Linked DNA regions of Daphnia pulex. The protein of the gene in region 3 binds, or shares a complex with, the protein of the main gene of each other region. Links are inferred from orthologs where the notes say so. Each region holds a gene or a part of one and is shown on either strand. Other genes may lie near its edges.

What was found.
Region 1: eukaryotic translation initiation factor 3 subunit M-like (region 3) and eukaryotic translation initiation factor 3 subunit G-like share a complex: the UniProt entries of both Caenorhabditis elegans proteins name them as parts of the eukaryotic translation initiation factor 3 (eIF-3) complex. The link is inferred for Daphnia pulex from reciprocal best matches to the Caenorhabditis elegans genes cif-1 and eif-3.G.
Region 2: eukaryotic translation initiation factor 3 subunit M-like (region 3) and COP9 signalosome complex subunit 5-like share a complex: the UniProt entries of both Caenorhabditis elegans proteins name them as parts of the CSN complex. The link is inferred for Daphnia pulex from reciprocal best matches to the Caenorhabditis elegans genes cif-1 and csn-5.

Annotation. Positions count from the first base shown.
Region 1 is NC_060023.1:11,173,572-11,184,360, reverse strand, and holds eukaryotic translation initiation factor 3 subunit G-like, read left to right. Parts: upstream 1-4,881; 5' UTR 4,882-4,998; coding exon 4,999-5,018; intron 5,019-5,085; coding exon 5,086-5,126; intron 5,127-5,193; coding exon 5,194-5,432; intron 5,433-5,497; coding exon 5,498-5,665; intron 5,666-5,731; coding exon 5,732-5,882; intron 5,883-5,893; exon of another isoform or gene 5,894-6,002; coding exon 6,003-6,115; exon of another isoform or gene 6,116-6,185; coding exon 6,186-6,316; exon of another isoform or gene 6,317-6,475; coding exon 6,476-6,494; 3' UTR 6,495-6,577; downstream 6,578-10,789. Other genes in the region: dynamin-like, read right to left, coding at 182-385, 1,814-1,963, 2,032-2,105, 2,172-2,335; tRNA (guanine-N(7)-)-methyltransferase-like, read right to left, coding at 3,699-3,836, 3,896-3,997, 4,078-4,222, 4,286-4,439, 4,504-4,622, 4,691-4,767; flocculation protein FLO11-like, read right to left, coding at 6,714-6,902, 6,979-7,973, 8,029-9,007, 9,071-9,153, 9,214-9,340, 9,405-9,566, 9,692-9,727; ras-related protein Rab-30-like, read left to right, coding at 10,122-10,151, 10,263-10,319, 10,389-10,472. UniProt on the Caenorhabditis elegans protein: RNA-binding component of the eukaryotic translation initiation factor 3 (eIF-3) complex, which is involved in protein synthesis of a specialized repertoire of mRNAs and, together with other initiation factors, stimulates binding of mRNA and methionyl-tRNAi to the 40S ribosome.
Region 2 is NC_060026.1:5,020,819-5,031,479, reverse strand, and holds COP9 signalosome complex subunit 5-like, read left to right. Parts: upstream 1-5,905; 5' UTR 5,906-5,973; coding exon 5,974-6,113; intron 6,114-6,173; coding exon 6,174-6,408; intron 6,409-6,466; coding exon 6,467-6,661; intron 6,662-6,721; coding exon 6,722-6,919; intron 6,920-6,983; coding exon 6,984-7,241; 3' UTR 7,242-7,301; downstream 7,302-10,661. Other genes in the region: uncharacterized protein LOC124204230, read right to left, coding at 1-14; transmembrane protein 65-like, read right to left, coding at 7,637-7,951, 8,158-8,225, 8,285-8,338, 8,411-8,578, 8,649-8,727; dynactin subunit 3-like, read left to right, coding at 10,585-10,661. UniProt on the Caenorhabditis elegans protein: Probable protease subunit of the COP9 signalosome complex (CSN), a complex involved in various cellular and developmental processes.
Region 3 is NC_060019.1:9,157,190-9,167,699, forward strand, and holds eukaryotic translation initiation factor 3 subunit M-like, read right to left. Parts: upstream 4,824-10,510; 5' UTR 4,685-4,823; coding exon 4,643-4,684; intron 4,407-4,642; coding exon 4,299-4,406; intron 4,240-4,298; coding exon 4,085-4,239; intron 4,023-4,084; coding exon 3,804-4,022; intron 3,743-3,803; coding exon 3,585-3,742; intron 3,530-3,584; coding exon 3,422-3,529; intron 3,363-3,421; coding exon 3,010-3,362; 3' UTR 2,908-3,009; downstream 1-2,907. Other genes in the region: DPH3 homolog, read right to left, coding at 2,205-2,273, 2,405-2,479, 2,548-2,655; cysteine--tRNA ligase, cytoplasmic-like, read left to right, coding at 5,396-6,128, 6,194-6,421, 6,501-6,691, 6,766-7,636, 7,709-7,878; succinate dehydrogenase assembly factor 2, mitochondrial-like, read right to left, coding at 7,964-8,237, 8,306-8,386, 8,454-8,509, 8,573-8,632. UniProt on the Caenorhabditis elegans protein: Component of the eukaryotic translation initiation factor 3 (eIF-3) complex, which is involved in protein synthesis of a specialized repertoire of mRNAs and, together with other initiation factors, stimulates binding of mRNA and methionyl-tRNAi to the 40S ribosome.

The DNA.
Region 1 (10,789 bases), on a different chromosome or scaffold from region 3:
AGCGGTAAAAAAATAAAATAAAAATAATAAAAAAGAAACTCTTGACATGCGATCATCATTCATTACATAACTAACTAAAAAAAGAACCCACACACGCCAAGCCTATTTACACGAGGGGGGCCCATTCATAAATACAGAAGCTGCCAAGTATTCGTGCTGATAATTTCGCAATGTGAAATACCATCGGGATCCACTTCCTTGGCCAATTTCAAGGCATCCGAATTAGCCAAATCAATGTTGGCAGGAGTGACTGCCAGGATAAGGCAAGTCTCCTTGGTGATGAATTGAAAAATCATGTCTCGGATTTGAGCCTCGATGTCCAAAGGCTGATCGCCAACAGCGATCTTGGTCAGACCGGGCAAGTCGATCAGGGTGATGTTCAGCACTACATACACACACACGCAACAGTCGTGAGTTTGTGGGAGTTATTTTATTATTGAAAAAGCCCTCCGAAAAAAAAAAAACACGAATGGCTCGTAAGAAGATTCCGGTCAATGGCATTCTTTTATTACATTATATTGCGGGGGGGAAGCGCTCGGACTCGGTGCGTGCCTCAAGAGGTCAGTTTACCAGATCAAATATTCGTTCCACTATAACCGGCCTAGATAAGACATCTTTCGGTAAGAATTGAGAAAAAGAGCAAAAACTTTTGTGTGAGTCTTATCCTCAATTTGTTTTTCCTTCTTTCATCCCATCTGTTCCCTTTTGCTCTCTTGAGGTTAATATCGACCAGAAGACTCAGCTTCTTTTCCTATTGATTGTCAATGGCGCCAAAAAAAAAGGGAAAAACTTATGCGAATTCCTTGGGAAAAAAAAAGAGAAAAGTTTTTCTTGTAGAGGCATCGACACAACATGGCGACCAATCCACAACGAAACTACGGTGTGATGGGCGAGTGTAGCAGCATCTGAATAAGAGTAATCTTTCTTCTTCTTTTTTTGTTGTTGTTGTGAGTGGTGCTGCACGAGAAAAGAAAAACTCTTACGTTATTTCTCCCTTTTTTCCTGCTCATTCTCTTCCTAGGAGACGGCAAACGGCCGTATCGATCAGACCAGCCTCGATCCTCCCACAGTTGAGAGGGCCCCTCTTTTGCGCGCACATACACGATACATACAAAACCGCGTATACCCTCGAGACGGAAGACATACAGAATTTGGGTTTTTTCCCGGAAAAATAAACCCCAGTCCACAATACTAAAGTTTAACATTTTTAATGGCTATTTCAAATGCTACTCCGGTTGTCGTATAGGCAGAGCAATGGCTGGATTCATTCATACGAGTGTGTTGAGTCGACGGGAGGCTTCCCCTCTAGGTGGTACCCAATCTAATTACTCTCTCAACTATTTAGTCTGTCGATCAAGTCGTCGTGGGGAGCCTAGTCGGACGGGGGGTGATGAGGCGGTTCTTTGGCTACATAAGAGAGAATGATCGATGATGCAAGAATCATGGAAATGTGGTCGACCAACGAGGGGGGTTCCTTATTTTTCCTCTTTTTTGTATAGTGCCAATCTCTCGCAGCGGGCAGGAGGTATTGATCCGTTCATCCCGAGCAATGCTCGGGACTGCACACTTTTCTATATGTGGACGTATACTCCAGTGTGAGTAGTGATGGGTCGGAAGATTTAGACAAGGGAAAGAACTTGGCGACATGTTTTGGCCACCACCATTACTTGTAATGGTGTTTTAATAACGCCGTTAAACCCTCCCAAAGTCTAGTTCAATTGTGTGACATTTTAAATTCTTAAATAAATAACCATTATCAAACTCTAAACTTTTCTGTAAGTAAAGTTGGACTTGTGAAGTAAAATTGGTTTACCGTGAGGAGAGTATACTCTCAAATTGATGGGCAAGTTGGATATTCCTTTGTTGGTACCAGTTAATCGGTCAGTGTCTGCCTCAATTTCCTTACGAATCTCATCAAAGTCAGCAAAGATCTTTCCTTTGCAGTGCAAAAACTCTCCATATTCTGAAAGTTCAAACATATTGATTATTACTCACAGATATAACATGTATTGCATTTGCCAAGTTACTTACCCTGAGGAGAGTTGATCAGCTGCAAGATAAGGGGACGTCGAGTGACAATGCCAGAGCCACGAGGTAGGAAATCCCTGCACAAGTGAAAAAACAATGAGTTATGAGAAAACAAAGGGGAGGTTTCTCGAAATTAATCCCACCTGCCAACAAAATTTTCCAGCACAGAGCTTTTTCCTGCACTTTGCCCACCCACAACAGCAATTTGGGGTAGGTCAAGAGACATTTGCACCCCCAACGAAGTGAAGGCATCTTGCAATTTATTCACGAGAGGAATAAGGGATTCCATTCCCTGATTGCCTGCCATTTTCGATGGTGTTTTCGACGGTCGAGCCTAACGTTACAAAAAGAACTCGGACCAGTCGGGAACTTCCCCACTATGGCGGACCACAGAGAGGATTGCACAATGAAACGAAATTCACAAAAAAACACAAGAAGACTTTCAGGGAGTTGGTTAATCTTTTTTCAGCCACAATACTGTCGGTGGAACCGTGTTTGACGTTGGGTAGAGAATGACAGCGGTTGGAGAGAGCGCACCAGCACCGTCTCTCATAGCACGAACTGGCTCGAATATGGCCAGGCCAACTCAACATGGCTGCATAGACTGTGAGATACGCCACACAGCGGCCGATTGCACAACCGCATCGGAAAGTGTCCCAATATTGACTCGGGGATCGAAGAAATTTCTATAAGACGAAAAGCCGTCGGACCGGAGCCGAACATATTCAAGTGTTTCCCATCCGTCAAGTGTTTAAATATTTCAAACAAAATAAAACTGCAGGAAATCATATTACGCAGCACAAATGGGTCACGCTGATGCGCACCATAAATTTTCATCGGAATATTATTTCCTTATATATTCTTTCATCTACCGCCTGCTAGGATTTCACATCCTATAACAATAAACATCACTATCAGTGATGCAATCTCGTCTTAGTCACTTAGTCGGCTTAGTGAAATTACATTTATGCCACGCTCCCCGAGTTTCAACCCATCCCATTTTCACAGCGTCGCAGAATTCCTACGCGCCTAATTCGATTAAGATTTTTACAAAATGGTATTCAACACGAATAACAATAAGTTGAAAGGATGGATGGTGACGTTTTTTTTCCACGTTCCTTTGCTTCCCATGAAATCGTCAGCTGACACATGGTCGATACGTAGACGACGGAAACTTAACACGATTTTTTTTTTCTCTATGAAGCAGATTATTGAACGTATCGATCGTATGAGCAAATGAATCAATAAGAACTCAAGCTCCACAAAAAGATACAAGTTAATCCCTTTGAAAACTAGAAACATTACAAATCAGGAAATCATTCATAAAAGACCCTTCAGTCAAACAGATCTACAAATGGATTGCCAAAAAAGAGAATGTTAAATTTATTTCCATGAAACTTTAATTCAAAGTGCCCATTCGTCATTTGACACGTTTGCGCGCGCTCCCTTTTCAGTTACAAAATACCGTACATACCTTATGAGTTCTTTGTCAACAACTATTGATCTTGGAAAATTTGTCTGTTCTGCGCATGGGCGATGCATACATAAAACGTGGGTCACCTATTTTGAATGGCAGCTTAAAGCTGGTTGATTATGTGAATTCCAGCAAACAGTTCCATTGGGAGCAATACAAGTGACGAGCAGGGAACCGGCAAACAAATTTGTATACATTAGCACTTGTTTTCTTCAAGTACGAATGGATCAGGAATTCTTCTGAATACAGCAAGAAATTTATCACCACTATTTCGCGTGACTTTTTTGCCCTCCTCCGTTGATTCGTACAGTTTTGGAACTACAATGTCTTGATCCTGATACCGCAAAAAGAATTTGTAGTTTTATAGCTATTTAATTATAAAGTATAACTAACCAGCTCTTCCTGGGTTAGTCTCTTAAATAATGGATGTTGGTCTAGATGCATAACCATCCATTCATGAAGATCTTTAACATCAGTAATTGTGTAAACCAAACCCTAAAGTAAAATTTAATTAATCACACAAGATATCTACATCAAGTAGCTAAAGAAGGGCCGTTCTAGGCCTGCCTACTTACCCCTTCAGCCAAAACATAGGCATATTCAGCCAAGAGAGTGTCATTGATAATACGCCACTTGTGTTTGGCCTTCTTAAAATGAGGATCAGGGAAGAGGAAAAACATTTTTGTCAATTGTCCTTTATCGAAAAAGCAAGGGAGGTACCTAGTAGCATAGAATAAATTAAGCAAACATGCCCAAGTAAATGAACAAAATAAATGTAAGTACTTCATGGCATTGCTTCTTAAGCAGGCAACATTTCCGTAATCACCTGGATGCAAAATCCTCAACGCCTTTATGCGATCCTGGACATATTCTGAAACTTTCAAACGAATCTCCATTCCTAACATTAAAGTCTCTGGGAACATGGTGGATAATGATACTGTTAAAAAAAAATACAAAATTAATTTTCCACATATTTTATTGGCAAAATGTGATAAAAATACTCAATAAACCGCCATAGCCACATCCAATATCAGCAAACTGAACTTTGTGTTTCATTATTCCATCTTTGCTGAATGTAGGATAGAGCTCATCCCATTTCATGTCATTGGGAGAGACAGGACTTCAAACGACAAATTGGGTTAGAAAATGACTTAATGATAAATCGAAAACTGGAAATAAGATACTCACTAGTCAAAACAGTGATCTGCGATAGGATTGGAGTGTGCTCTTTGTCGATAATATTTTTTCTGTGGTAAGCTAGCCATTTTTGCTGTATTCGAGTTCCACGTGCCGGAATCTCATAAACGGCGGGATTGTATTCGAAGAAGAGCAGACGAAATTGTAAAAGCAGTCAAAATTACGAAATGAATTTTTCAAAACTGGCAATGTCGCTCTACACACGTTCTAATGGCTGCTTGCTGACACATTTCTGCAATAGCAGTGAATTTTCTACTTTTTGATTATTTACTTGACGTAATCAATCTTCTCCAAGAAAAATGCCGGTTGCTGATAATGAGTAAGTGAAATGAGACAAATTAATGTGCAAATATTAAAAATACAACACAATCTTGATATGATTTCAGAGTTAAATCCAGTTGGGCCGATGACGTTGAGGATATCGATGGTTAGTAATGCCGCTTCCCCGTAATTAATGTAAGATTTTCTTTAATCATGCCGGTATTATTCCTTAGGTCTCGGTTTACCCCCTAACACTGAAGAATACAAAAATGGGCTGAAAATTGTCACAGAGTATGGTCTTGATGATGATAACAGGAAGTTCAAGGTGGTGCGTACTTACAAAATAGAGAAAAGGTATGTAGCTAAAGCCATTGCCCAGCGTAAAAGTTGGCCAAAATTTGGTCTTTCCAAGGAAGATAAACCAGGACCAAACCCTGCAACAACAATTGTATCTGAAGATGTAGCCATGCAGGTATTTCTTTTCTCAGTTGATCTATCAAAACCGTTGGATGCTAATTACCATTTTTACTTTGACAGTTTATTACGAACAAAGAGGATCCTGATAACAAGGAAGATGACCCTCTTATGAAGTTAAAAAGCATGCAGAAGGGCATTGTTAAGTGTCGTATCTGTAAAGAGGACCATTGGACAACACAGTGTCCTTACAAGGACACACTTTTGCCTGTCCAAGAAGCACTCAATAAGGTAAACACATTTTCTTTATTTTGAATTGAACTCTTGCTAATTTTGCTCTATATCTCTTTAATTAAGGCTGAGGAGAAGAAGGCCGGCCCGCCTCCTGCCGCAGCTGCTGCTGGAGGACCGCAAGCCAAGGGTGGTAAAGAAGGAAGCGCCTATATTGCACCTGCACTTCGTGATGGTGGCAACAGAAAAGGAGAGACTATGGCTATGGGTCGACGAAGTAAGATACAGTTTCTTCATAGTAGTTTATTTCATATTATTAAAACCACCGGAGAAGTAATAGAAAACATACATAGGAAAAACATTATTTAATGATTACCCTTTTCTTTCCCGATAACAGCTGATGAAGGGTGCACTGTACGAGTAACCAACCTCTCGGAAAACGCTCGCGATTCCGATCTTCAAGAATTGTTCGGCCGTATTGGCGAAATCTCACGCATCTTCCTCTCAAAGGTTAGACTCAAATTTATTCACTAATTATCATTTTGTAAAAATTATGGCACCGCTTCAAACTGAATTTTAGGACAAAAACACTGGCCAATCCAGAGGTTTTGCATTTGTCAGCTACAAACGACGAGAAGACGCCGAACGAGCTATCAAGACCTTGAATGGTTTTGGTTACGACCATCTTATCCTGACTGTCGAATGGTCTAAGTAAGTTAGCTCTCAATTCACTTAATTTCATTCAAAATAGTTGTGAGCTGAATTTGAAATTCATGACTGGAATTTTTAAAATTTTATTTTTTAACAATTTAGTTCTTTAAATTGACGAGTCAAATGAAACTGATCTTTCTCTTTTCAATCGTTTAACAGACCATCGGGAACACAGTGAAAAAAGCCTAAAATTCCTTCATCAAATATTGGATGCTACGATCATGTAAAGGGATAAAAAAAATACACGCAAATGGATTCCAATCAAGCTCTTCAACCCTCTATCACAGACATGAACCGAATTTTCACCTTTCTCTTTTGTCTTTCTAAGCTAAACATCAAGGGAATGAGGATTACCTCACCTAAACATTATTTTTAAGTGAAAAAAAAGTAAAGTTATCTAGTTTTGCGCTGATTCATCCTCGGCTTGACGTGCAAGATGATAGCCCCTGCTGTTACTGCTAAAGCCTCGTCCTTTACGTTTTGCCAGGTACCAGGCTACAAAAAAGACTGTCGTGATAAAAATGGTGCATCCTAGAACTATGTACATCAGGGAAAGTGGATTCGACTCGATCAATGCGCCTGTTACCTGTATCAACACGGTAAACAAAACAGACGGGTTATAAATACGTAGTGGAAATCATTAGCATTTAAATTTAACGTACCGTTGGGAATATCATCTCTCCCATTGAAGAAGCAACTGAGAAAGCCGCAGAAATCCGGTTAGTTACCAGCAGGTGTGTTTCGGTCCATATGAAGCCTGTTGCGAAGGTTGAAGCCATTCCTACGCCAACCAAGGCCGAACCGACGTACAAAATAGTGGCGTCCGTCTGCCCAGCAACACAGAGAGTCATCGAGCCGAGCGCAGTAGAGCATAAGTTGAAAATGAGCATGGCTGTGGGATTGGTGAAGTGGGCAACGAAAATGGCTACAAATCGTGCGGCCGCGAACGAGGCCCAGAATGTAGTTGTGATGTAATTGGCAGTCGAAGTCGATAGCTTAAGTGGGCTCTCCAACGCAAATGTAGTAAGGAACTGAGCAAATACGACCTCAGAGCCGACGTACATCAAGTAAAACGAGAACATCAGCACGACGAAGGATATCTTGGCGCTGGGCCGGAAAGGTTTAACTTTCCGATCAGACGTTTGACGTTCGGCGGTCGAGCTGCGAGTTCCAGAACACAGAAAGAAGAGAAAGAAAAAGGCTGTGTGCAAGACGATGATGGCGATAACGGTATACAACATGTGCATCCGCGTAACTCCAAAACGCTCCAGATAGTCAGAAACTTTAACGGGGGACCGATCAATAGTCTCGCTCTCATTGTGGATGGGTGAATTTGTTGTTGTCACAAGTACGTTAGGCTCGGAAGTTGTGACTGGAAGTACGAGCGTAGTCGAGGGAACCACCGAGCTGACTTCATCTTGTTGACCTCTGCTCTTTCCACGACTCTTGACTACAACATTATCTGCAAGGTCGACTGGCAATGTTGTAGCAACTGGAATGGGTAATGAAATGTTTTTGATGGTCGTGGGTAGCAATTCTATCGAGGATGGTGTCGTCGTTGTCGAAGTTGTAGTTGAAACAGCCGTAGTTGATTGAGACGTCGTCGAAGAATAAAGAGGAGTTGTAGTAGGGAATGTTTTAACATTAAGTTCAGCACCTACAAGTTCAATATTAAAATCGTGTTTACATTATTTTCTGATTGTTAAAATTACCTTTTGTTACGTTGTTGATGGCAGTTTCTTTAGGCTGGAATTCAGCGTTTAAGTTTGATGAATTGATAACGGGTTCTACAGTAGTTAGAGGAATGGTGGTTATCGTAGAGTTTTCAGTAACAGGACTCAAAGTTGAAGAAGTGACGGTATCGTTTCCGGTGGATTCAGACGCATTCTTGGATGAAACGGTAGAAGTATTATTGTCACTGCTGCCGATATTGAGCCCTTGGACTTCATTGGATTTTTGGAGTATCATCGTTATTTCCGTCATGTTATCTTGAGCTTTCGGGGTACCATTGATGGAAGGAGGAATTGTTGTTATATCGGTGGATGTAAGCGTAATGGCGGGTGTAGTTTGATTTTCGTTGGATGACGCAGTCGTGGTAGTTACAACGACTTCCTGGGGCGGTTGAGTCTCTACTTTCAACGGAGTATTATCAAACTGCTTCGAAGGGCCTAGAATTTGGCCATTAATGACGGCAGGTTTCGGTTTCTTTGGCTTTTCTGTCAAGGGCGTTGTCTGATTTTGGTTAACAACTGGACTTATAGTTGTTGTCGATGTAACATCTCCAAATGTGGAATTGGATGCTGTTGGGATAGTTGAATTGGATGAAGGGATGGCTAGATTAGAAGTAACTAAAACTGGAATTTCACTGGTGGCTTTAATGATCGAAGCTATTGTTGTCATTTGATCTTCCGATTCACTTGAGTTGAGTGGATTAGTGACGGAGCGCACATGGCGTGATGAGATGGTATTGTTAAGGGTAGTAGTTGAAGTTTCAACGATGAAAGCCTGCACGAGCAAAGGGGCGATCGACCCACCGACGGCAAAAGAGAAGTGTAAAGCCTGCATGTAGGGACCCGATTCCCTTCCCCATAACTGAAGACAAAGGGTGCTAGCTCCAGTATCCAGCAGCCCATTACCCACTCCAACAACAAAAGATGAAACCATCAGCATCCAAACGTGTTTACACCATGGCTGTAGAAGAAAAAAGGATCATGATTTCAATTGCAGTAATTTTATTGATTTAAGCTTATTTACCATAGCTCCAACACTTATGGCCATTGAGGCAATAGCCACAAAAAATGCTGAATATGGATTACAGCGGTCAAGAAAAAAGCCACCTGTTATCAAATATAGATTTGAATTTGTGACTTGGATTGAGCATATTAAATTACTGTTACCGAAGAAAGCACCCCCTAAAGTTCCTATTGATCGGACTGTAAAGATGTAGGAAATTTCTGAAATGGTAGATCCAACTTGATCCTTCAGATATAGTAATGTAGGTCCAGTTACTGACATACATAGTCCCTATTGTAAAATGTGATACCTTGAGTAATTATGAACTCTTGACTGATAAACATGATTAACTTACAAGTGAAATATAGGCCCCACAGAGGGCTGCTGTCCTTGTCAATTTACCCAATTTATTTAGAGGTTTCTTGTTACGTACAGGATCACTCAGAAGAGGAGGAGTTAAAGAACTATCATCAATTTGGCTGTTTAAAAGGCCAAATTGTGATTGATCGTAGATGACCTATCGAGAAAAAAAAATCAATAAGCAACAACAACTTTAACAGCTGTCTTTCATAAGCAGCAATAAAGCTGTTTTTCATAAACAAACTGTGAATCATGACTAAAAGCAAGGGCCAAGTGAATTACCTCCTCTTCCAAGACATCACGTATGTGTCGTTCCATGAGAAGGGCTTGTTGTTGTGATCCTCACAGGTTTTTGAGTTTTTCAGATCACTTTCTGTTTCGTTCGCCATGGATTTTTGCTGGTAATTAGGGCTTCGGCTGTCACCTATCTACCATCATCACCAGGTGGCTGCGTGACTTACCATCTTGAATTATTGATCCACCGCAAGATAGCGCTGACATAGAAGACAACTCGGGAGCAGACATCACGAGCAACCGATTACATTCACATAGTATTTGTTCTCGGGAAACTTCTTGAATGAAATGGCTTGTTTAATCAGTGAAGCGGAAATCTCCCTATCTAGCCTTTACCGTTAGTGACTAAATGTGAAAAGGTCTCCTCAGAACTTTTAGTTTTTCGACTGCTATCTCGTAGATAGTCGATTTCATATCAATGGAAGATTATAAGTATCTATTCAAAGTTGTGAGTTTGACTTAATGGATTTCATTCAGAATTTAATGAAAGCTGAAGCCAGTTGAAATCATTTCAACTGTCACATCAGCCAACATTTCTTAATTTCTTACTTGTTTTCAGGTTTTGATTGGAAATGCTGGAGTTGGGAAAACTTGTTTGGTCAGAAGGTTCACTCAGGTATGACAATCCTGTTGATTTAATTAAACATACCACACTTCAATGTAAATTTTTACTTTATATTCAAAGGGAATATTTCCTCCTGGGCAGGGAGCCACAATTGGAGTTGATTTCATGATCAAAACAGTTGAAATTGATGGACTTAAAATAAAGGTAAACATTCACTGAATTTGTTCATCCCGTGCTTTGCAAATGTTGAATTAACAAACTAAAATTTAACTTGTAGTGGGAAAAATTCATTTAAAAAGGGATAGAATTCTGATCTATTTAAACTAATGGTTGTTAAAGTGACATTTTTAAGATGCACTTCTACTGCACTTTTCTTTCAAATTATTTAGAATGCAGCTCAGACTATATTAAAGTGTGTGAAAGGCTCCCATGTATATTTAATGGTTTGACTTGTAAAACATCACCAAACAAATTCTAAAAAAAAAAAGAACTTCTTACTAATAATTTACATTGAATATATT
Region 2 (10,661 bases), on a different chromosome or scaffold from region 3:
TTTTTTGCATTCATTTTAAATTTCTACAATGAAAATATATCATAACTATAAGAAGGAGACGATACTCAAACGTTATTGATATTATTTGTCAACACTATTCGAGTTTGACAAAAGCAGACGACGGTAACGGTATTCATGTTTTGTTGTCTGAGCCCGGAGGCGGCCGGCAGCCCGCAACTGACCCGGGCTAGACCCGACCCGACCCAGCAGCTAGACCCGCGAACCGTGACGTCTGTGAGGTTTGCGTGAGAATATTTTTCCCTAGTTCTTTTTTTTAAAGAAAAACAACTAATTTCTCATTCCAATGCGAGTAGTTACTAGTAGTTAGGTATCAAGCTCAAACCCCTTTAACCGAATTTCAAATCAGAAAGCGCTATAATTTTGAAAAGAAACTTAATAAATTTTTAGAGGAATTTTAATTAAAAATTAGTGACAAGTTGAATTATTTTTGTTTTGATCTTGAATTCGGAAGACGTAATCATTGTATGTTCAGAGGAGTATTCTAATATTCTTGTGTTCAGTTTCTTGTTTTTCAGGGGATGCTCTTCTGCATGATCCAATGGTAGGATCGGATAGGTGTGCGAATTTTCCTTATGTACTAGGTCTACATAATAATTCCAAAAGTGCACCGATATACGCTGATAAGAACTAATAATAAATTCAAATATCGTTTTGCTCCAGATCAGCGTGTGTTCACTATGACAAATACGAATGACTAAACATAAGGAAAGCTTGGAGCGCTGAAAACGTCTAAGGTAAAGAATTAGAGCTTCTCCTTCAAAATAAAAATTTATCTTATTTCCTTTTAAATAATGTACATTTTAAAAAGCAATAATGAGTATAGCACACTAACTAATTTCCAGTCTTCATGACGGCTTAATTAAATAAACCAAAAAGCACAAGTTTATAAATGCGAAACTTACTTCATTAATAGCTTTGGTCTTATCTTTGCTTGCTTAAAGGTAATGGGATTACAAATTAAAAAAAAAAAAAACATTACTGATTTTGAAAAAAAAAGTATTTTAATTAAATGGAGAACAATCAATTTACTGAGAATAACAATTTTATTACTTGATTTCAGTTTTCGAGTTGTTTATTACTTCAATTGTTAGAACAAGTATATCACGGAGAAAGCTTAGGCTTTTTTTAAATTATCAGCATTATTACGAATAACTCAAATTGGTACGTGAATTCCAATAAGCGATTTTTACACGAAGCAACTACTTTCTCTAGGAACATTAAGGCTAATTCACAGGAGATTCTTTACTGCAATTTTTGGTTTTTGAATCGAGAGAACCACCAGTCTTTTCCAAAATTTGGTAAATGTCATAGCTGCAACCAAAATCTATGCCATATCCTTGTTTGAGGCCATAAGGGTTTGAGGGTGTTTGACAGTCCATGTTTGATTCTTTGCGTAATACCGTGTCTATATCCACTGACGAGAAGAAAGCAACGGCCTGAGGTAAATCATTCAAATTCATTTGATATGAAAACATGCACCGGGTCCAAAGGTTTGCGACTTGTAACGCTAATGCAGCACGGAATTTATCCTCTTCCTTAATTATGTACCGAACTTCATCGTGAATGCTTATTGAAAAACGGCCTTCAATTCTAAAAGAAAACAAATTCAACACTTAAGGAATTGCATAAAATTAAAAATGATAAAACAACTACTAACTTGTACACATCAACGAGGTATCGCATTGCCACAATCATCAAATGAAGATAGTCGACGGCGGAACTCTGGACTACCCAATTCACGCGACTCGTCATGAATTCGTTGCCAACATTTCGGGGTTCCAAGGCACGACTGATCCGGCAATGTAACACTGGAGTCTGCGGCGACTCCGACTGTGCAATTTCTTCCAGTTTGTTGAACATGTGTGATTCGGTTCCGCCAGCCCACATTCGCCGTTCAACTAATTCGTCTGTCGGCAAATTGGCGATCTTCTTCAGGCTGGGTTCCTTTCTTGCATTTTTTCGCATTTCACTTAATTGTTCTAGTGTTACCAACTCATCTTTATTTCCCGAAGCAGAGGCTAATTGCCGCCCATAATGACTTAATTTGAGGAGAGAATTACCCTTAGTCAATGAGTACATTTTGCGGGCTTTTTCTGTAGCTTCTTTTTCGGTTAACCGGTGATTGAACTGCATCAACAAAGTTCTTGCGAATCGTTCGCCAGCCCCATAAATTCTTCCATAATTCAAAATTTTGGCCTGATCTCTCGTAATATCAACGGCTGCAGCGGTTCGGCTGTGCATGTCTGTCCCATCACTTTTTTTGCCCTGAAGAGTCATCCAGCCAAAAGCAGTTGAACCGTGTTGACCGGCGAAAAATGAGTCCCCAATTATAGATGCAATCCAAAGTTCTTGAGAATCAACATCCGCACCGACAAAGTTAAAGCCAGGAGGACATTGGATCATAGCCTTTAATTCTGATCCTATCCGATCCTAAACATCCAGAATACTTGAGAATTTTAAATTTTGTTTGAATATAAACAATAAAAAAAAATACCTTGTACGCATTTGAAGCTGTCAACCAGGTAGATTCAACTGCTCTTCGTGTGAGAGTGCCTGACGTTACGATCTGTGGTAGAATGGCCCCATACGTATTCAATGGGTCAAAATGTTCAGATTTGGTCACGTTGCGAGGAATTTGAGATTGTCGAAGCCACACAACCATTTGTGACATAATGCGATCGCGAGCGTTTCTCCAGTAGATGACTGGGATTCAAGAAGACAGAAAGAAAATATTATACTATTATAAATCTATCTTATATCTATCTTATAATCTGTCGATTATAGCTTACTATTGCGGTTTAGTTTTAAAACATGTTCGGCAATGGAACTTGAAGTGGCTTTTAAAGTACCGTCTTCAATTTTGTTTAAGTAGTCTTTGGCAAGCGGATTTCCAACATTGTTGTCAACACCAGATTTATGCGGGAGTCGAAAAAACCAACAACCAGCCACACCAACGTCATAAGGGCCTATTCCTACGTGCCAAGCAGGTCGATCGGATGTCAAATAAGTGTGTTTCTCTTTTGATTTGTCAATCGCAGGATGAAGATTCGCTTGATCTGCGTCGTTGTTTAAACTTCTCCGAGTAGCCTATAAAAAGATGGGTGGTAAGTTTGGCGAGAAAAGGGTGAAGCTGGGAAAATAAAGTAAAATCACCTGCCACTGCATGGCCAAGTCAACAGGATCAGCAGTCAAATCCGTCATTTGTCTAAGCTTCAGCATGGCTTCTTCAGCGGTAATAATTCCTTTAGTCAAAACATTTTGGTCAGCAGGCCGAGGTGGGAAAAGGGCTAATGCTTCTTTCAACGGAAAAGGAATCTCACACACATCTTCATCGATTCGAGACAAATTTAAAGGTCTCCCTGGAACAAGATAGCCCCAACCTAGTTCACGACTATGAAAAAGTGGATATCCGTCCCAGGTCAGTTTGAGTAGTTTGGGTACCTGGGTAAATGGGTAGTTGGGTTAAATATAATAAATAAATATAATGGGTACTTGGGTACTTACTACTTGGGCTGATGTTGACACTTCAGTTGGGCCGATCAAACCATCTTGAAGGCGATCGCATAAGGAGCTGTACCAATTTGGGTAACTACGGGATGAAAATAATGTGTTTTAGAAAAAGAAATAAAATACTAACATAAATGAAAAACTGAGATTAATACCCGGGCAAGAAAGAATTGCGTTTGAATAACAGTTCCTTGGTATTGAATAATTCTTGAAACTGACATTTTAGTTTTTGAATTTCAAGAATCTCATCGTCGTTATCTTCTTTATTTGTTTGATTTTCAGGTTCTTCATTATTTATGCTGGGTATAACAGCTGCGCTTTTTTTCTTTTTTGGCACCGACGTTTTTTTCACTTTCAGCGGTTTCGTTGACCAGTCAAGATCCCAAAGCCAGGGATCCTTTTCGTAGGATTTATCCGTCATCATATGGGATGCACGGTCAGCTTCTCGTTTCAAGCTCTGGGTTAATTCATTCTCTGAATCACGGTATGTATCTTCAGATTCTTGCAAATATCGTTGCCAATTGCGATTTACCGGTAGATACGATGTACTCATTTCCAACATCCCAGCCAACTAGAAAAATAAATTCAATAAACTTGAAGAGGAAAATTTATCTGAATAGAAAAAATAAATGCCAAAAATGTTATCTATGAAAAAAAAAAACTTACCGTGACTGGGTGTGGGAATCGCTTCTGAAACTCGGGGAGAAGAACACAAAGTATTCGGTAAGTTGCTTGACAATCTCGTGCACAGTAAGTTACTAATTGCTGAAAATCGTCTTTAATATCTGTTAGAGAACCAGTTACAAAGATGTTTCGCTTCTCTTTATCTAAACCTAATCCTCCGCAATAAAGTTTGTGCACATCATTTAAACCGTTAAATGAGCTGACATTTTGCCACTCTAGAATTTCTTCCGTTTTTCTTGACTTGCCATTACAGTACTGGGGATTTTTCAGAGAACGATCAATAGGGGTACCAGATTTTGCGGCAAGGAGCATGTTTCTTTGAAAACTCGTGATGCCACTGATCGCTATGTGCAAAGCCATCGTATCAAAAAATCGAACTTTGGTGCCATCGATGAAATACTGCTCTTTTATTCGCGAACGGTCATAACTTACATTATGTCCTATAACGATACGCTCTTTTTGATCTTTGAGAGGGAGACGGTCTTGTTCCGTTTTTGATTCCAAGTTGATCAAGTCCTTTAATTCATAAATACTTTCCATATCCTTCAAAATTGAACTTTGCACCTGTCAAGTAGGATAATAAAGCATTGATATAGGGTGAAAAAAGTATTAAGAAAAATAAAAATAAACCTTATTTTCAGTAAACAGCTGATTACTACACCATGAGTACCAGTAGTTTTTTGAAACTGCAGTTGCAAGGGTTGGCAAATGGCCCTCTTTCACACAGACTTCCACATCAAAGACATATGCATCCTCTTCTGGAAAATGAACTAGATCCATCTCTCCATTTTGGTTGTATCTTGTCCATCCAGGTGCAAAGTTCCAGACTTGAGGGATGTCTGGAATGCAATGTGATGTCAAATCTAACAATTTATTACGGTAACTTCCACATTGTTTTTCAGCAATTTTTTCAAAGTGTTCTGCTATGTTTTTTCCTAATAAAGTTGGGAGCTTCAAATCAATATCTGGGAGTTTACTTGGTGATTTGCCATAAAGATGGTGAATTGATAAATGCTGCTGAATTTTTAACAGCGTTTCTTTAGATACAGAATTGTTGTTTTCTTTTTCGAATATCTGTCGATGGATAGATCTTGATAACATTTGTATACCACACGGATTAATAGTAACACATTTGTTTGAAATAGATACTTCTTCTTTGCATTGGCTTTTTGTTGAAAAATGTATTCTATAATTATGAAGAATATTTAAACTAGATAATGAATATTTCCAAGGTATTTTCCTACGGTTATGTTTAATTTGCCACACTCGAAACGAAAGCATGTTTGGAAACAAGTTTGAATTTGTTTATCGGGCATCGGCAACTCCACGGTAAGAAATAGTAAAACGTGGGAAAAAGAGTAGATAGGGATTTAGTGGTGAGGCAATGGACAATGGACTAATGGAGTAGGAGAAGTCAGAAGTACTGAAGTAGCAGTCGTAGCAGACTAGGCAATCGCAGTCGTCCAATCCATCCCTGAGGCTGAAATCCTACGTTTTACTTTGTTCCTACCACCGCCGCGACCCGCATTTTACCTCTTCATTCTCCCAGCAGCTCCCAGTATGCCAAAGGCAAAACAAGACCCGTAGGTCGTAGTCTCGTAGACGACATCAACAGTCGATGAGATTTAGTTTCCGGCTGTACGTTTGGATTTGATATATTCAGCACTGGTATACCTCGTTCGAATTTCCCCATTTGGACTTTAGAGTGTCTTTTGCAAAAAGAGGTTTCAAGTAAAATTGGTTGTGTGTTCCACATCCAAGATGAGTTCACAATCTAACATAGCCCTGAATAATTGGCTCATGGCTAATAATGTGGAAAATATTAGTTCAGTTGACGAAATTTATCGATATGATAGAAAGCAACAGCAAGACATGTTGGCTGCTAAACCATGGGATAAAGAGTAATATTATTTTTTATTTTGTATCAAGTCATGTTAACAACTTTACGTTTTATGTTCTAGCCCTCATTTCTTCAAAGAGATCCGTATATCAGCCTTGGCATTGTTGAAAATGGTTACTCATGCTCGGTCTGGAGGACATCTAGAAGTGATGGGATTGCTTTTGGGCAAAGTAGATGCAAACACAATGGTGGTAATGGATGCATTTGCCCTGCCAGTTGAAGGCACAGAAACCAGAGTAAATGCTCAGTCACAGGCTTATGAATACATGACTGCTTACATAGAATCAGCTAAACAGGCAAGTACATTTGCTCTTGATCACATTTTTAAGTAACTAATTGGAATATGAGTATTAGGTTAATCGTCTTGAAAATGCCATTGGATGGTACCATTCACACCCTGGATATGGATGCTGGCTATCAGGAATTGATGTTTCTACCCAGATGCTTAACCAAAATTTCCAGGAACCCTTTGTTGCTATTGTTGTAGATCCTGTTCGTACTATTTCAGCTGGCAAGGTGTGTCTTGGTGCCTTCCGTACATACCCTAAGGTGAACAGATATATTTTTCTATCAAGCGTACAGAGTAGTTTACTTTTTATTTTTCCTTAGGGTTACAAACCCCCAAATGAAGAGCCAAGTGAGTATCAAACCATCCCACTCAATAAGGTTGAAGATTTTGGTGTCCACTGCAAGCAGTACTATGCCCTTGAGGTTTCTTACTTTAAATCAGCTCTGGATCGCCGTCTATTAGACTCATTATGGAATAAGTACTGGGTCAGCACATTGAGTTCTTCATCTCTCACCACAGTAAGAACAAATATTCAAAGCGTTATATCATGTTATAAAAAGTATTAATATCTCTTTTTATTAGAATGCTGATTATACAACAGGTCAAGTATCGGACCTTTCGGAAAAACTTGAGCAAGCTGAAAACTCTCTAGGACGGGCGGCTCTAGTCGGAAGCGGCGTTGGTGTGAGTGGCTCCAGCATTGAGGATAGAAGATCGGAAGATAGGCTAGCTAAAGCAGCTCGTGATGCTACAAAAACTTCCATTGAAGCTCTTCATGGTTTGCTGGCTCAAGTAATTAAAGATCGTCTGTTCAACCAAGTGCGTTCAAGGCCTGCGTGAACCATCTCGTTTTTCTAAATATCCTCTGAGAATCCTTAATAATAAACTGGCTTATGCATACCATTTTGTTTGTGTTTTCTGTGAATGAGTTACCAAGTGTTAGAATATATTGTATTGAACATGTAAAATTCTTTGGCTATATCTCTAATAATGGGGTCAAGATTGAACAGCAATTGTGGGCAATATAAATAATTGTTATGTGAAGAATCTCCACGTTAGTTCATCGGAATGCTCAAAAATGTGCAAAACAATAAGAATCGAACATTAAAGTTGCCAAGTCGCAGTAGGATCCATTGCCATTGCGCGGCAAAATGTCATTTTTATGAGTTTAAATAATTATTTTAGGTTCACGTATTTGTAAGGTTATAAGACTAATAATATATCGGACATGCCAATCACAAATGAGATGAAGGGTCCTTTGAATGCCGTTTGCTGTCAGATGTAGGTAAAAATAAAAGTGGTACCATTCCAAGCACACATCCTATAGCAACACCAATAGCACGTCCGATATTAATGGCCCAAGTAGTTGATCGAAAAGCATATTGCCGAGGCTCGAGATCGGGTTGAGGAATTCCTAGTTTTTGAGAAAAAGACTCGACGAACTGAGCAGATCCTACTCCAGCAACATCAGATATTGCATTTCCTATTCCAGCTGCTGCCATAGTAGAAATACCAAACATACTTCCAATTGTTAAATCTATGTAGTCACCCTGATAAAGTGAAATATAATATTATGTTAAAAATGTTTGAAGCACATTCAATAACGGAAATAGAGGCCGTCCATAATGAAACCACGCCTACAGGAGTGCGGCAAGTAAGAGAAATTTTTATGAGGGAAATTTAGAGGGTGTAAGAAATCGCGTGAATTAACGTATTTTATGGAAGGCCTCAATTTAATCCACTTTGAAAAACCTACAGCAATAATCATGATAAAATTGTCCAAAAATCCAAACCCAATGAAAGGAAGGGAATAATGTATTCCAACTGAAATCAAGAATGGACCATTAAGTAAAATTGCAATATAAATAATATTTCTAGTTTACCATGGAAGAGCTGTGATGTTCTCAGAGAAGGAGGTGGTGAATTGTCTGAAGACACTGTCAATAATAATGTAAGTGCATCACTTCAACAACAAAAAAAATAATTTCTTTAAGTAATTTGTTTTTTACTTTGTGTTTGCTTTAATAAAGTAGAAAGAAGGGAATTTTGTTGTGCTGGTGATAGATTTGCAACCCATTTTTCAAAATTTACTGTGGGTTTTGGTTGAGCAAAATCTGTTTTAGAAGGTTCTGTTTGAATTTTTTTGGTACCTAAAATCTTCAGATGGCATTTTCCCCCTAAAAACCAATAATAAACATATTTTCACAGCAAACATGGAATAAATTTATAATAATTCTAAAAATCTACCATTAAGCAATAAGTTGGATGAAGTGAAAAAGGAGACATTCCTCTTGGAAATACAATTCAAAATTGGTGAATGAAACATTCTGTTTACTAGGGTATTTTTTCTAAAAGGTAAAGTTTTACACTACGACGAATTAATCAAGTGGGTCCAGGAAAATTAAGTTTCAAGTGATCGGTAAGTTGAGAAAATCAAAATGCCTGTGCTGACTCAAAAGCAATACCATGAACACGGTAAAAAAACGCGAATAAATACGAATTTTTATGTATTATGACGTCAATGAAGTGCGTGATTGCCACACCAAAAGGACCAACTATGAAATGAAATCGTTCGTGATGTTTTCGCACGATCAATATAACAAAACAAACAAAACGGCAGACGGCACCTCGATCTTCCTTTTGATGCAGTGTTCTTCTATGCCACCATAGGCCCAATGGCGCTGTCTGTGGAAATAGTTCCAACGAGTTCCAAACCTTCTACCTAGTACCTTTCTTGGCTGCTTTCTTACTCAGCATAAAAATGTTTGTTTTGTTTTTCTAAAGAGAGAATTCCATTTTAATGTAATCAGAAATCACCGATGGTCCACTCGAGGGTTTTAATTCCATCCAAAAAATTCAAAAAATTTTTAAAGAAAATGAAGCGTTGCTGTTTGAGGCAACTCAGGCTTTGCGGCGGGACGTTCCTGACACACTCACTTGTATCTGTGTTGTTCATTACTGATTCTCGCATAATTCATAAATGTTTCGGTGACGAAAACGAATTCTTTATATCGAAATTAACATAAATCAGTGTAGCACCAAAACAATGTTAACCAATAAATGCGGTCTAGAATAAGTTATAACTTATAAGTTTATAAGGATTTACGACGTTCAGACCGGGCCCTTCAGGCCAGTACTGGGAACCCTTCGGGACAGACGGGGCCAGCCAACAAAACAAACACTGATTTAGGTACTTGCCTGAACGTCGGTCACCCGCTTATAACCCTAAACGACTGCGAAAGCGTGTGAATATTATTTTCCCGATCTTGCACTTTTAACATAAATTTGCTGGCTTTCGAGCAAAGCCAAGTAATAGCGCTATACTGTCGAGTTTAGATCGAGAAGTTAGATAATTTCAAATAGCGTTACGCATCCCATGTGCTATTTAACCCTTTTCTTTTTTTAAATTTATGTCATGAATTTTTATTAGAGGGCCGGTAGCTTCAGAAAAACGAGCTTCTGGGATTGTGCAGGAGCTACATGATTATGCAGTTAACGCCTAAATCATAGATAAAGACCAGTTGTGAGCGGTCTTTATCTATCCCTTAAGGACTTAATGGTATTACAACAAACAATATAAAGTTCTTAAGTTCAGCTTATTCCAGTGCGAACATTAAAAAAAAATATATATATATATATATTTAAAAATTTTTTGCGGGTTTAACTTAATCACCGTCCACCGTGGTAGAAAGTGACAAAATGTAAACAAGACGTCCTAAATTTAAATGCAATACCGTTTCAGAAAATGACTAGCAGGTGGCGTAAAAATCGCCTAAGGATATAAAAATATTACACGCACCGTGTAGCCCTAACCCTGAATTAAATTTAAATGAAAAGCAATTAAATATCTAAAGATTTAAAAAAAAAATTATTAATCACGATATTTGGTCAATGTACAAATCTTTGTTAGAATTTTCCTTTTGCGTAACCACAGTAAGCATAACACACAGCGTTGCATTCTATTATTATTTTTTTAATTTTATTTACTTTTTCCTAACAGTGAGCGCAGTGAGTCAGTGACAGCTGCACACAGCTCATCTCATAGAGCCGAGAGCCTACACCGGATAACTATATTACACCTTTCATTATTTTTAATTTCAACAGCGGCATTCAGAGAATTAGGCATATTTCACATTTAGTGATCCCCCAAAATCTCGAAAGTTTTGATTCAAGTTTTTACAAGATGAGTTCTGAACTGGACGCTGTTGAAGAACGACTTAAACGATTAGAAAAATATGTACTGGGGGAAGATGTCCATCG
Region 3 (10,510 bases):
TTCCTGCATGTCCGGAACTGAGAGATTTCCATCAATCAATCAAATTCGAGTTATGTCGGTGATTGGGCAAGTACGTTTGCAAATGGCCTATTCGACAGTCCTTGACTATCATCAACACTTCTCCTGTAACAGCAGAGTATCAATTAAATTCACATTCGCATTCTTTTTGAACCGAAATAGTGTAAAGAAGACTTACCTTATGAGTTTTAAGGGTTCATCACGGCTTCACTTATTAGATATGTCCTTCTAATGAAAATTTGCTAGAGCAAAAAGAACCACTTTGATTTTTTTGTTTTTACCTTGCGATTGTAAACAATAACATTCGTCTGAGACGATTGCAAATCAATTGTTAAGCTAACTATTGCATTGTAATCGATAGCTTAGAACCCCTCCCCAAAAGAGGCAGAGAAACGACGATTTTCGGTCCGCCCGCTAGACGGCGGTGGTGAATTGCAGTAAATTTCAAGCAGTTAATTTTGCGTCACTTTGGCGTTCCATATAGCAGACGTTTGTTTTTCAAAACAAGTCGATTAACGAGTAGAAAATTATTTTTGATACTTTAAGTTTGTATTTGCCATTTGGTTGTTGCTAAAGATTTTATACTTTTATTGCTCGAATATCGAGGTCAGTTTAAATATGAACGACTGTCCCTGTATGTGATGCAATTCTAACCATGAGTCGAGTTATAAGCCAAGCTCGAAGGTTTACCTTGCTTGCAGCTAAAAATCAATTTCGCCCCCACGCAAAAGTAAATACTATCCAGTTAGGTTCGTTGGAATTAATTCGTCGTTATTCTTCTTCAATTGATTCCCAACTCCATGATGAAGGTATTCAGGTGTAAACATTAAAGAAGTTCAATTACATACTGGTCAGATGAAAATTGAGTGCTTTGTTTGATAGGATTTGCCAAACTTAAGAAGAAGTCTCCCAAGATGATTACATTTAAAGATAAAATTGAAAAGCATGACTTGGATGCAAAATTAAACAATATAAGGAAATGGCTTTCTAAGGGCCATTTTGTTAAAGCATCCATCTCAAATGTTTCAAAAGATGAGAAAAAAGTGGTAATGGAAAATTCATAATAGTACTGTACCAAATTTATCATATTTAATCATTTCTCTTAACAATAGGAACAAATGTATAATGACTTGATGAAGGAACTTGCAAAAGAAGGCAAATTCAAAATGTTTAAAACTAGCAGCAGAGAAACTAAATTCAGCATAGAACCAATAGAGAATATTGAAACTGATGAGCAAAAGAACATAACATAACATGGCTAACTATTTCCTTTGATCCTAGTAGTTACAATACAAGTGGAAAGAAATTGTCACATTGACACATTCTCTTAAGTTTATCATCATCATCCTACAGTGTGATAAAATTCTTATTTCATGGTAATGGTAATCAAAGTCAACCTCTCTTAAGCTAATGGTTATTTTAAACATAGTTTAATTTCATTTAACTTCTAACATTAATCACTATATCAGTAATAGTTATTAATTCCCGAAACGTAAACGTTCATTAAATAACGTTCAATTAATTCGATTGAAAATTCCCGAGACCTTCGTAAAATTTCAAGTTAGGAAGTCCTCGCTAGATGCCGCACAGATCATTCTACTCCAAATGGTCGACCACGACCATGATCAAAAACTACTTCATAATAACAATCTACCCATAATTGTATACAGTATACATTGTAGGTACTGATGAAAATGAAAAATTCGTCAAGGAGTCGAGCTGCTTTTCTTCGATTTCCAATCGTTTTTGGTAAATTTAATTACAAAGCCATTGAATAGTAATTGGTTAAAAATTGTTTTCTTCATAAGGATTCATTTTGGGAACATTCTACATGGGGTTTCAATATCGGTGAGACATTGAAAGACTTGCTCAGTACAGAACTGATAAATCTCAATTTCATTCCAGCAAAGGAGATATTTGAATATTGTTTTTCATTTTAGGAAGTTGTTCATGAAAGACATAGAAGAAAAGCAAAAGGAAATGAATAAAGAAGATCCTAACAGTAGAGGATTGATCACAAGCTCAATTGGACAGATCAATCGTGAAAGAAGCAATAAGAATGATAAATGACAAGATTCATTTGTGATTCTTCATGGCAAATTTTAGAATGGACAAAATTTAATACACAAAAAAATGCAATTTCTGAAAATTATTCAATCCTACTTAAGTATACTAAAATAACTAGTTTATGTTGTGAGTGACTCTTTCTTATTTGGGGATGAATACGTGATTTCCTCGCTCTGCATGAATTCTTCCTGTATGTTTAAATAAATATGTCATTCATGAATGTAAGTAAATTTTAAAACTAAATATTAGACATATTGTGTAATGCTATACAGGCTGAAAGCCAGTTGCTTCCAGAACTTCCACTTGCTCATATACATACCTTGTTGTATATTACTTTTACTATAAGTGAACAACTCGGACATGTGGCTTCCTCTTCCCCATTTTCTAGCTGTTCCTGTTGAAATAAAAGTAAACCTTTTAATAAGCTTGGAATCTGAGTAAGGAATGGGGACGTCACATTACTTTGGTGATTTCAAACCGATCTCCACAAGGGCAAGGATAGAAGTAAATTTCACTGTCCGAATCATATTCAAAATCTTCGATTTCAACTTCATCGTGATAGACAGACATTTTCACCAAAAATTCTGAGTAATAAATAAAAGATTTTTCTCAACTACTGAAACAAAAATGTGTGGATCTTCAAAAGACAACACGTGAGAAAAAGAGACATCTGCCGGCCAAAAATCAGACTACCTGAATTAACTCACGTTTACACGTTGCATATAATAAGCATAATAAAAAAAGAATTTTTTTTTTATCTCCTACCCTACTTTCAAACAACAGTATGTTGGAAACAAAACAGAAATAATGATCAAAGTCTGATTTTGTCAGATAATGTGCCGGCGTCATCGTTTATTTCCACAAAACCTTAATAGAGATGGATAGCGGGATAATTTGAAGTCTTTTGTTTCTTCTCTAATCGGTTCAGGATTGCTGAGCGAGAAGTTCGGCTTGCTCGTTAACGATGGTTAGCATGGAATCTTTGACCTGTCTGAGGTGGCCTCGCCAAGTAGTCAGCAACTCACGCAACTGCTGCCAGTGCTGCTTGCCGAATGTCCGATGCATGGTTGATGAAACAAGCACTTTCTTGTTCAACTGATCCATTCGTGCGCGCACCAATTTCGTCTTAAGGACTTGAAGGACAAATTCCTCTACTTGATCTTCGGTTAGTTGTAATTGCTTCTCGAGCGTTTCGAAAGGGAGCTCTACGGAATTTTCAGCCAACTGCATGAAAGTCAAAATTCGCATTTTTCGAAGGTTCTGCTCATGTTTCAGACCTAAAAATCATTGTTACTTAAAATTCTTAAAAAAATACTTAAAAATTTCCAGTAAATACCTAGTCCTTCAACAAAATCTTTCTTTTCCTCATAAAACTTCAAATAAGCTGACAGCTTTTCCGTCACGAATACGGTCAACAGATCGTGCAAAAGGGCACCTTCCAAAACTGTACACAAAAATTAATTAATAACTGATTTAACTTCAAAGTAATTTTTATAAACCTTTCACAGGTTGCAAAGTCAATAAATGATCGAGAAGGAAAGTGTTGGGATCAGCCAATGAAGCAACAATGCAGCGTTGAGCTTCCTCACGAGCCTGTGAAGCATTTTCGGTCGTGTAAGTGCTCAACAACTCCACCATCACTTTGGAGGCCAGTTCACTGAATAATAACACTGGTTTGATTTATTGTTACAATTATTTGTTTAACTTCAATACTTTACCTTTCTCTGGAGTTGAGGAGAGCTTCATGTAAACTTCGGAGGAGTTTTTGCATCTGCTCGTTGTTAGGTTTGCATGGCCCTAGTTGAGTACGCATTTTATCTAGATCCGTGAACACTGTCTTCATCTGTTCCACTTGTCCAGCAACTTGGACTAGCGTGTGATAGACCGTGTAACGCGTTGTACTCACAGGATCAAGCCCATGAAATAGTACAGACAGACTAAAGAATCAAAATTATAGTTAGACAATTCATTATGTAAACTTCAAATTTCAAATGCTCACACTCTCAGACAAACAAGTCCCAACTTGTTTGAGGGGGGTTTTGCAAGCTTTTGGCAAAACGTAGTAATTATTGGTTCAGCTTTTTCATTGGGGAGAAGAACGAGCATAGATACAATGCTATTCAAGACTCCCTCAGATTCCACTTCATTGCCCTCCTTCAAAGAAGAAAATAGTGTAAACACACACTACTAATTGAAATAAAATTGTCACTTACTTTGAAACAGAGATCTGCAACAGCAACAATGTTGCTAAGATCTGAGTTTTGATCATCATCCACATTTGATGCTCCAAGAGCCTTGAAATAGCTACACAATTCAGTAGCCTAAAAAGACAGATATGAATACAATGACCAATTCAAAGCCTTGATGTCTTAAATTTTGTCTCAGTACTATATAACAGTTATTTGCTTTCTCCAGGTGGTAAAACAGGTATAAAAATTAGAAATACTAGTAGGGAAAATTGTCTATAACACAGAAAGGTGTACGCTACTGGCAGACTCCACACTTCATCGCCACAACAGTTTAGCATCTACCGGACTAAATTTATGGGGAAACTAACCTGTTCTTCGACCGTTAAATCGATAAATGCTGGTAAACTCATCCTGATAAATTGTTCAAAACAAACTGGAAAAAAAGATTCCTTTATTAGAAGTTGCTTGTCAAAAAAATCCGGATATAGGCCACGCTCACGATCCCGGTACAGAAGTTCGTCTGTAATGGCGACATTGCCACCGTGTTCCCCTACAGATAAATCAACGATTTTTTTTTTTTTTTAATTCTTTGTTTCAACACTTTCACGCTTTCCAAAATTTTCTAAAACCAGTTCTTGATTTTTTAAAATTATTATTAAAAAAATTACTACCTTTTAAAATTGCAGCATAAAAGATCACCACATTTGTTATCGCTGTTATCGGCTCACTCGCAATTTCTATCTAACTTGACGTGTTGCGGTGTTGGAAGAAACAAACCGAATACACCGTCAAAGGTACGCACCGGTTTCGGATTCATTTGATCGTTATCATTCGAACCAGCATTTATTTTTCAAATTTATTAATTGTTAACTTCCTTATAACGTTAAAGTTAACTGGTGACATTCACAAATCTGTTAACGTGCAAATCGCAAAAATATATAATAGTTGGAGTGGTTGGCAATTTAGGTAGAAGATAGAAGTAAGTAAGACATTTTAACTATTGCATCAGACATTTCAAAATATTAATGACTAGATTTTACTTACAGAGTGAGAAGTTTCGAAGGGATAAATAATAATTTTTGGAACACATTGAGAAATTGGTTGTACCTTGTTCACCTATTATGTCTGAAGCCCCCTTAAACAACAGCAGCATGGAGCTGAAGATTTACAATAGTCTGACTCGTAAGAAGGAGGTGTTTACTCCTCAGAATGGGAAAAATATCACCTGGTATTCTTGCGGACCAACAGTCTATGATGCATCCCACATGGGACATGCCCGTTCATACATGTCTTTTGATATCCTGAGAAGGGTCTTAAGAGACTACTTTGGATATGACATTACTTATGTAATGAATATCACTGATATTGACGACAAAATTATTAAAAGAGCAAGGCAAAATTATTTATATGAAAAGTATGCAACTGAGATGAGTGAACTTGAAACTCTTCAAACAGATGTCAAGGAATCTGTTGATCGTCTTTCTAAGCAAATGGCAGTAACCACCGATCCCGACAAGAAAGTTATGCAGGAGAAGATGTTGGCCAAAGTCACTGCCGCGATTGAAAAATTCACCGAAACAATCAAGCTTGGTCAAGGATTATCCGAAGCAAAGAGCTTTTTGTTGGCTGAAGCCAAAGACGTCTTGAGCGATTGGCTCGACTCGAAGCACGGCATGGATGTTTCAGATAACGCAATTTTCGCGTCTCTTCCGCGACATTGGGAAGAAGAGTTTTACAAAGATATGGCCGCTCTCAATGTTCTACCAGCCGATGTTATTACGCGTGTTAGCGAATATGTCCCGGAGATCGTGGATTACATCTCACGAATCATTGAACGTGGACTTGCATATTCAGGTGAGTTTTTATCTCTTTTTTTCTATTATCTCGTCACGGTTAATGACTCTTTTGTCATTGTATAGCAAATGGCTCTGTATACTTCAATGTCTCAAAGTTCGATTCGCAAAAGAATCACAAGTATGCGAAATTGGTACCTGAAGCTTACGGTGACTCAAAGGCATTGCAAGAAGGAGAAGGTGATCTAAGTGTCTCTGAAGATCGGTTAAGTGAGAAAAAATCACCTAACGATTTTGCGCTATGGAAAACTTCAAAGAGTGGTGAACCTTCCTGGGATTCTCCTTGGGGGAAAGGTAAAATTCAACTAAAAAATGTCGAACCAACGTAATGAATTAATAATTAAATTATTTTATTTTATTTTATTCTATTCAGGACGTCCTGGGTGGCATATTGAATGCAGTGTGATGGCAAGTGCAATTCTAGGGTCATCAATGGATATTCACACAGGAGGCGTCGACCTAAAGTTCCCTCATCACGACAATGAACTAGCCCAATCTGAAGCCTACTACGATAATGATGAATGGGTTCGCTATTTCCTTCATACTGGTCATCTGACCATCCAGGTACTATACAAACTTCCGTAAACTTTTTCCGTTCTTCCACCCAATAGAAAACTATAATGGACATTATTCTACAGGGTTGTAAAATGTCTAAATCCCTCAAGAATTTCATCACCATACAAGATGCGTTGAGTAGAAATAGCAGCCGCGAATTGCGCATCTTTTTCTTGCTTCACCCATGGAAAGAAACACTCGACTATAGTGACAGTGCAATGGATGAAGCATCGAGTTACGAAAAAATGCTAAGGGAATTCTTCTTAAATGCCAAGGATCTTTTGAGGAATGGCCCGTCATCGAATACTGCCGCAGAATATTTTCAAAAATGGAGCACAGCTGAGCAGGAAGTCAACACCCGATTCGTCGAAACGAAAAATCGAGTACGGGAAGCTCTCTGCGATAACATAGACACTAAAACGTCTCTGGAAGCGATTAAAAGCATGATATCGGCTTGCAATAAATACCTGGCACAGCTGAAGCAATCTGCCAACCGGGTTCTAATCAAGGTCATTGCCGAATATGTAACGCGGTTGTTCCAGATCTTTGGCGTGATTGAAGGCAAGCAAACCCTTGGATTCCCCTCTGAATCGTCTAGTGGAGGTACCGATAATGTTGAAGAAATCGTAATGCCTGTCCTTGAAGCGCTCGCAGACTTCCGAGAAGAAGTGAGAAAAGAGGCTCGTCAATTACGTGCAACACGCGTTCTCGAACTTTGCGATCAAATTCGAGATGACGTTTTGCCTAACCTGGGCGTAAGACTCGAAGATCGGGAAAATCAGCCTCCTGCTTTGAAGCTTGTCCCACGTGAGGAACTGCTTAAGGAGAAAGAAGACAAAAGATTGGCTGAGGAAGCCAAAAAAGCTGAGAAAGAACGTAAAAAGGCTGAATTAGCAGCCAAAGAAGCCGAAAAGGAAGCAAAACGACGCATGCCTCCCACTGAACTATTCAGAAGTAAAGATAGATTTAATTGTTTGTGCCATCAATCATTATAACTTAAATGATTAACGTGTTTCTTTGATCTAGGTGAAACGGATAAATATTCTGCTTTCGACGAGAAAGGGATGCCAACCTTAGACAAGGATGGCAAAGAAGTCAGCAAAGGCCAGCTTAAGAAGTTGGAGAAACTATGGCAAGCCCAAGAAAAAGTTTATAAAGCATACTTGCTGGAGGTTTCATCAAAGAATGAGAGTTGATGCAATACAAGAATAAGTTGGTGGGAAAAATAAGATTTAAGATGTATTAAATCAATTCTAAATACAATCATCCATATGGAAATCATCAATATAAATCAGGTTGTTTAAATCTTGATTCCTTATCTTTATTTTTTACATGATCCTTCAATAGATCCATGATTTCATTGTTAAACTCTTCAGGTGTCTCTCTTACACCAGTTGCCCAATAGTAAATATCCCAATCATTTGAGGGTAAATTGATCAGTCTGTCATATAAAGACATTTGATCATCACTCATTCCATCCAAGTAGCGTGAGGCAAATGTGCTGAGAATCAAACCATTTTCCAACATACCACGTTTTCTGGATTGATACATTAGTCTGTGGAGATGTGAAAATTGTTTACAACAATAAACTCAGATATAAGTAATTGAAGAGAAAACCAATACCTGGCCTTTTTCAAAGTGGATGACTCATTTTCCCTTTCAACATATGGTGGAATCCATGGTTCAGTTTGAGGTGAGGGGTACCTGATATTTTTAACAACTTATATTATTCTATCAATGAAAAAAAATCTTAAGATTATAGAATTCATACATATCTCCGCTGCTGGTGTCGGATGACAGAAATCTCAATACGGTAACTTTATCACACTATTGAAAATATTACATAACAATTTAGTTTCATGAACCATTCTTTAACAAATCAACACCTACCCTAAATGTTAACTGTCTGATTGGATGTAGAAGTCGAGAAAAAATATTTGATTGAGCCATTGTGAAAATTTTTCTTTATAAATTATGAAGCTAGCCAAAACGTCTTTACTGAGTTACGTAAAAGTCGTAAACAAAAGTGGGTGTTACTAAAACGCGAAGCGAAACGGCGGAACGCGAAACTCCTAAAACGCGAAACAGTGGTGCGAAACGGTCCCAAAAATTGGGGACCGTTTCGCGGGTCCAATGGCCTAAGGGCATCCTAAAGTGCGAAACCATTTGCGAAACCTTTGATTTTTGAAATATAAAAAATATCCAGTTTTTAAATTTCTGAACGCCCAAGGGCATCCTAAATTGCGAAACTACTTGCGAAATATTTTACTTTTGAAATTTAAAAATGATACTATTATTTAATTTAAATAAATAATATGAACATCTTGAATTCCACCGTTTATTGTAGTTTGAACAGATTCAAAGAGTAATTGAATAACAAAGATGGGCTTGGTAACAAGTTCTGTTGGTTTATTCATACATATTTTCGTACAAAGTCAATAATTACAGACTCAGACATAAATAGGTTATAGTTTCTGAAATTAAACTGGCCGGTATAGCTATTTGGGCATCAATTCTACACAAGATAATTCGCCGTTAATTGATTTTGATAATGAGTAAGGCAATGAATGCATGTATGCCGCTTTGCGCTTTCTCACCCTGGCCATATGGCTGTGTATTTCCCGTCGTCTTTTGTCGAAGCCGGTCGAAGCACTTGGAGCGTGGCCAAACCGAAGTAGCTCTTGCACAACGTCTCGCCATTGCTGATGGATGCTCTTTTATTCGAATGCTCCGGAGCGTTTAGAAAAAAAAGGCTCTTAAACAAAATAACCCCAAAAAATAAATCTTCTATTTTATTATTTTCTTTTTTAATTTGATAGAAAAAGAAATCATATTCCCAAGGACGACATTTTTATGTGTTTGACTCGCAATCAGAATTGATCGGAATAGATTTATTTTGTCGTCTATAACGCTAAATTATAAAAGAAGTGGTGGTCGTGATATGACGAGACCGGTGCTCATCATCATTAACCCACACCTGTTGAAATATTATATTTTTGGTTTGAAGCTGTGGGATGATGTGTATAATAGTACCAACCGTGTAGACATTTTAGTATCATATTAATACTTTTTCTTTTTTTTTAACATCAGTCGACGAGAAAAAAAGAGTAAAAAAGAAGAAGAAGCCAAAAAAAACGAACGATAACGACGTCTTCGTGACTACTTAGTCTCTTTGAAACGAACTTGTTTTTCTTTTTCTCTCTCGAATAATTTCAACTTTTCTGCTTTTTTTATTTTTTGCTGCTGCTTTTGTCAATGAGACAAACCGAGACAGAGCGTTCCGTGTACACACATTTAAACTCAACTGCCAACATACATATCAACAGCCAGTTCGGTAGTTAGTTAGGTTAGTAAGTAGTTAACTTTTAACCATGCTTTTAACAATGCACTGAGCTACTGACGTCGACTGTTTCGCGTCTACGGTTTCGCATTTTAGTAAGACCTCTAGCGCCTAAACTGCGAAACGGTCCCGAAAATTTTTGGGACCGTTTCGCACCACTGTTTCGCGTTTTAGGAGTTTCGCGTTCCGCCGTTTCGCTTCGCGTTTTAGTAACACCCAACAAAAGTACAGCAGACGAAGACGAGATTTTGTTGTACTAGAACAGTACTGCCTCAGGGTCGAAGTGTACTACAAAAGGAGGAGTTCACCTTGATTTTTCCTTGACGTTTCACACGTAGATGTAATGTTTTTTTTCAAGAGTTTGTAAATTGATCGTATTTTTATGCCTTTTGGCGTCCTGCATGTTTAGCATGTTGTAATTTTGTTTTGTTTTTTATTTACTACCAGTTTAAGCAGTTGGTTTGTTTGTGTGCCATTGCTGTGGACTA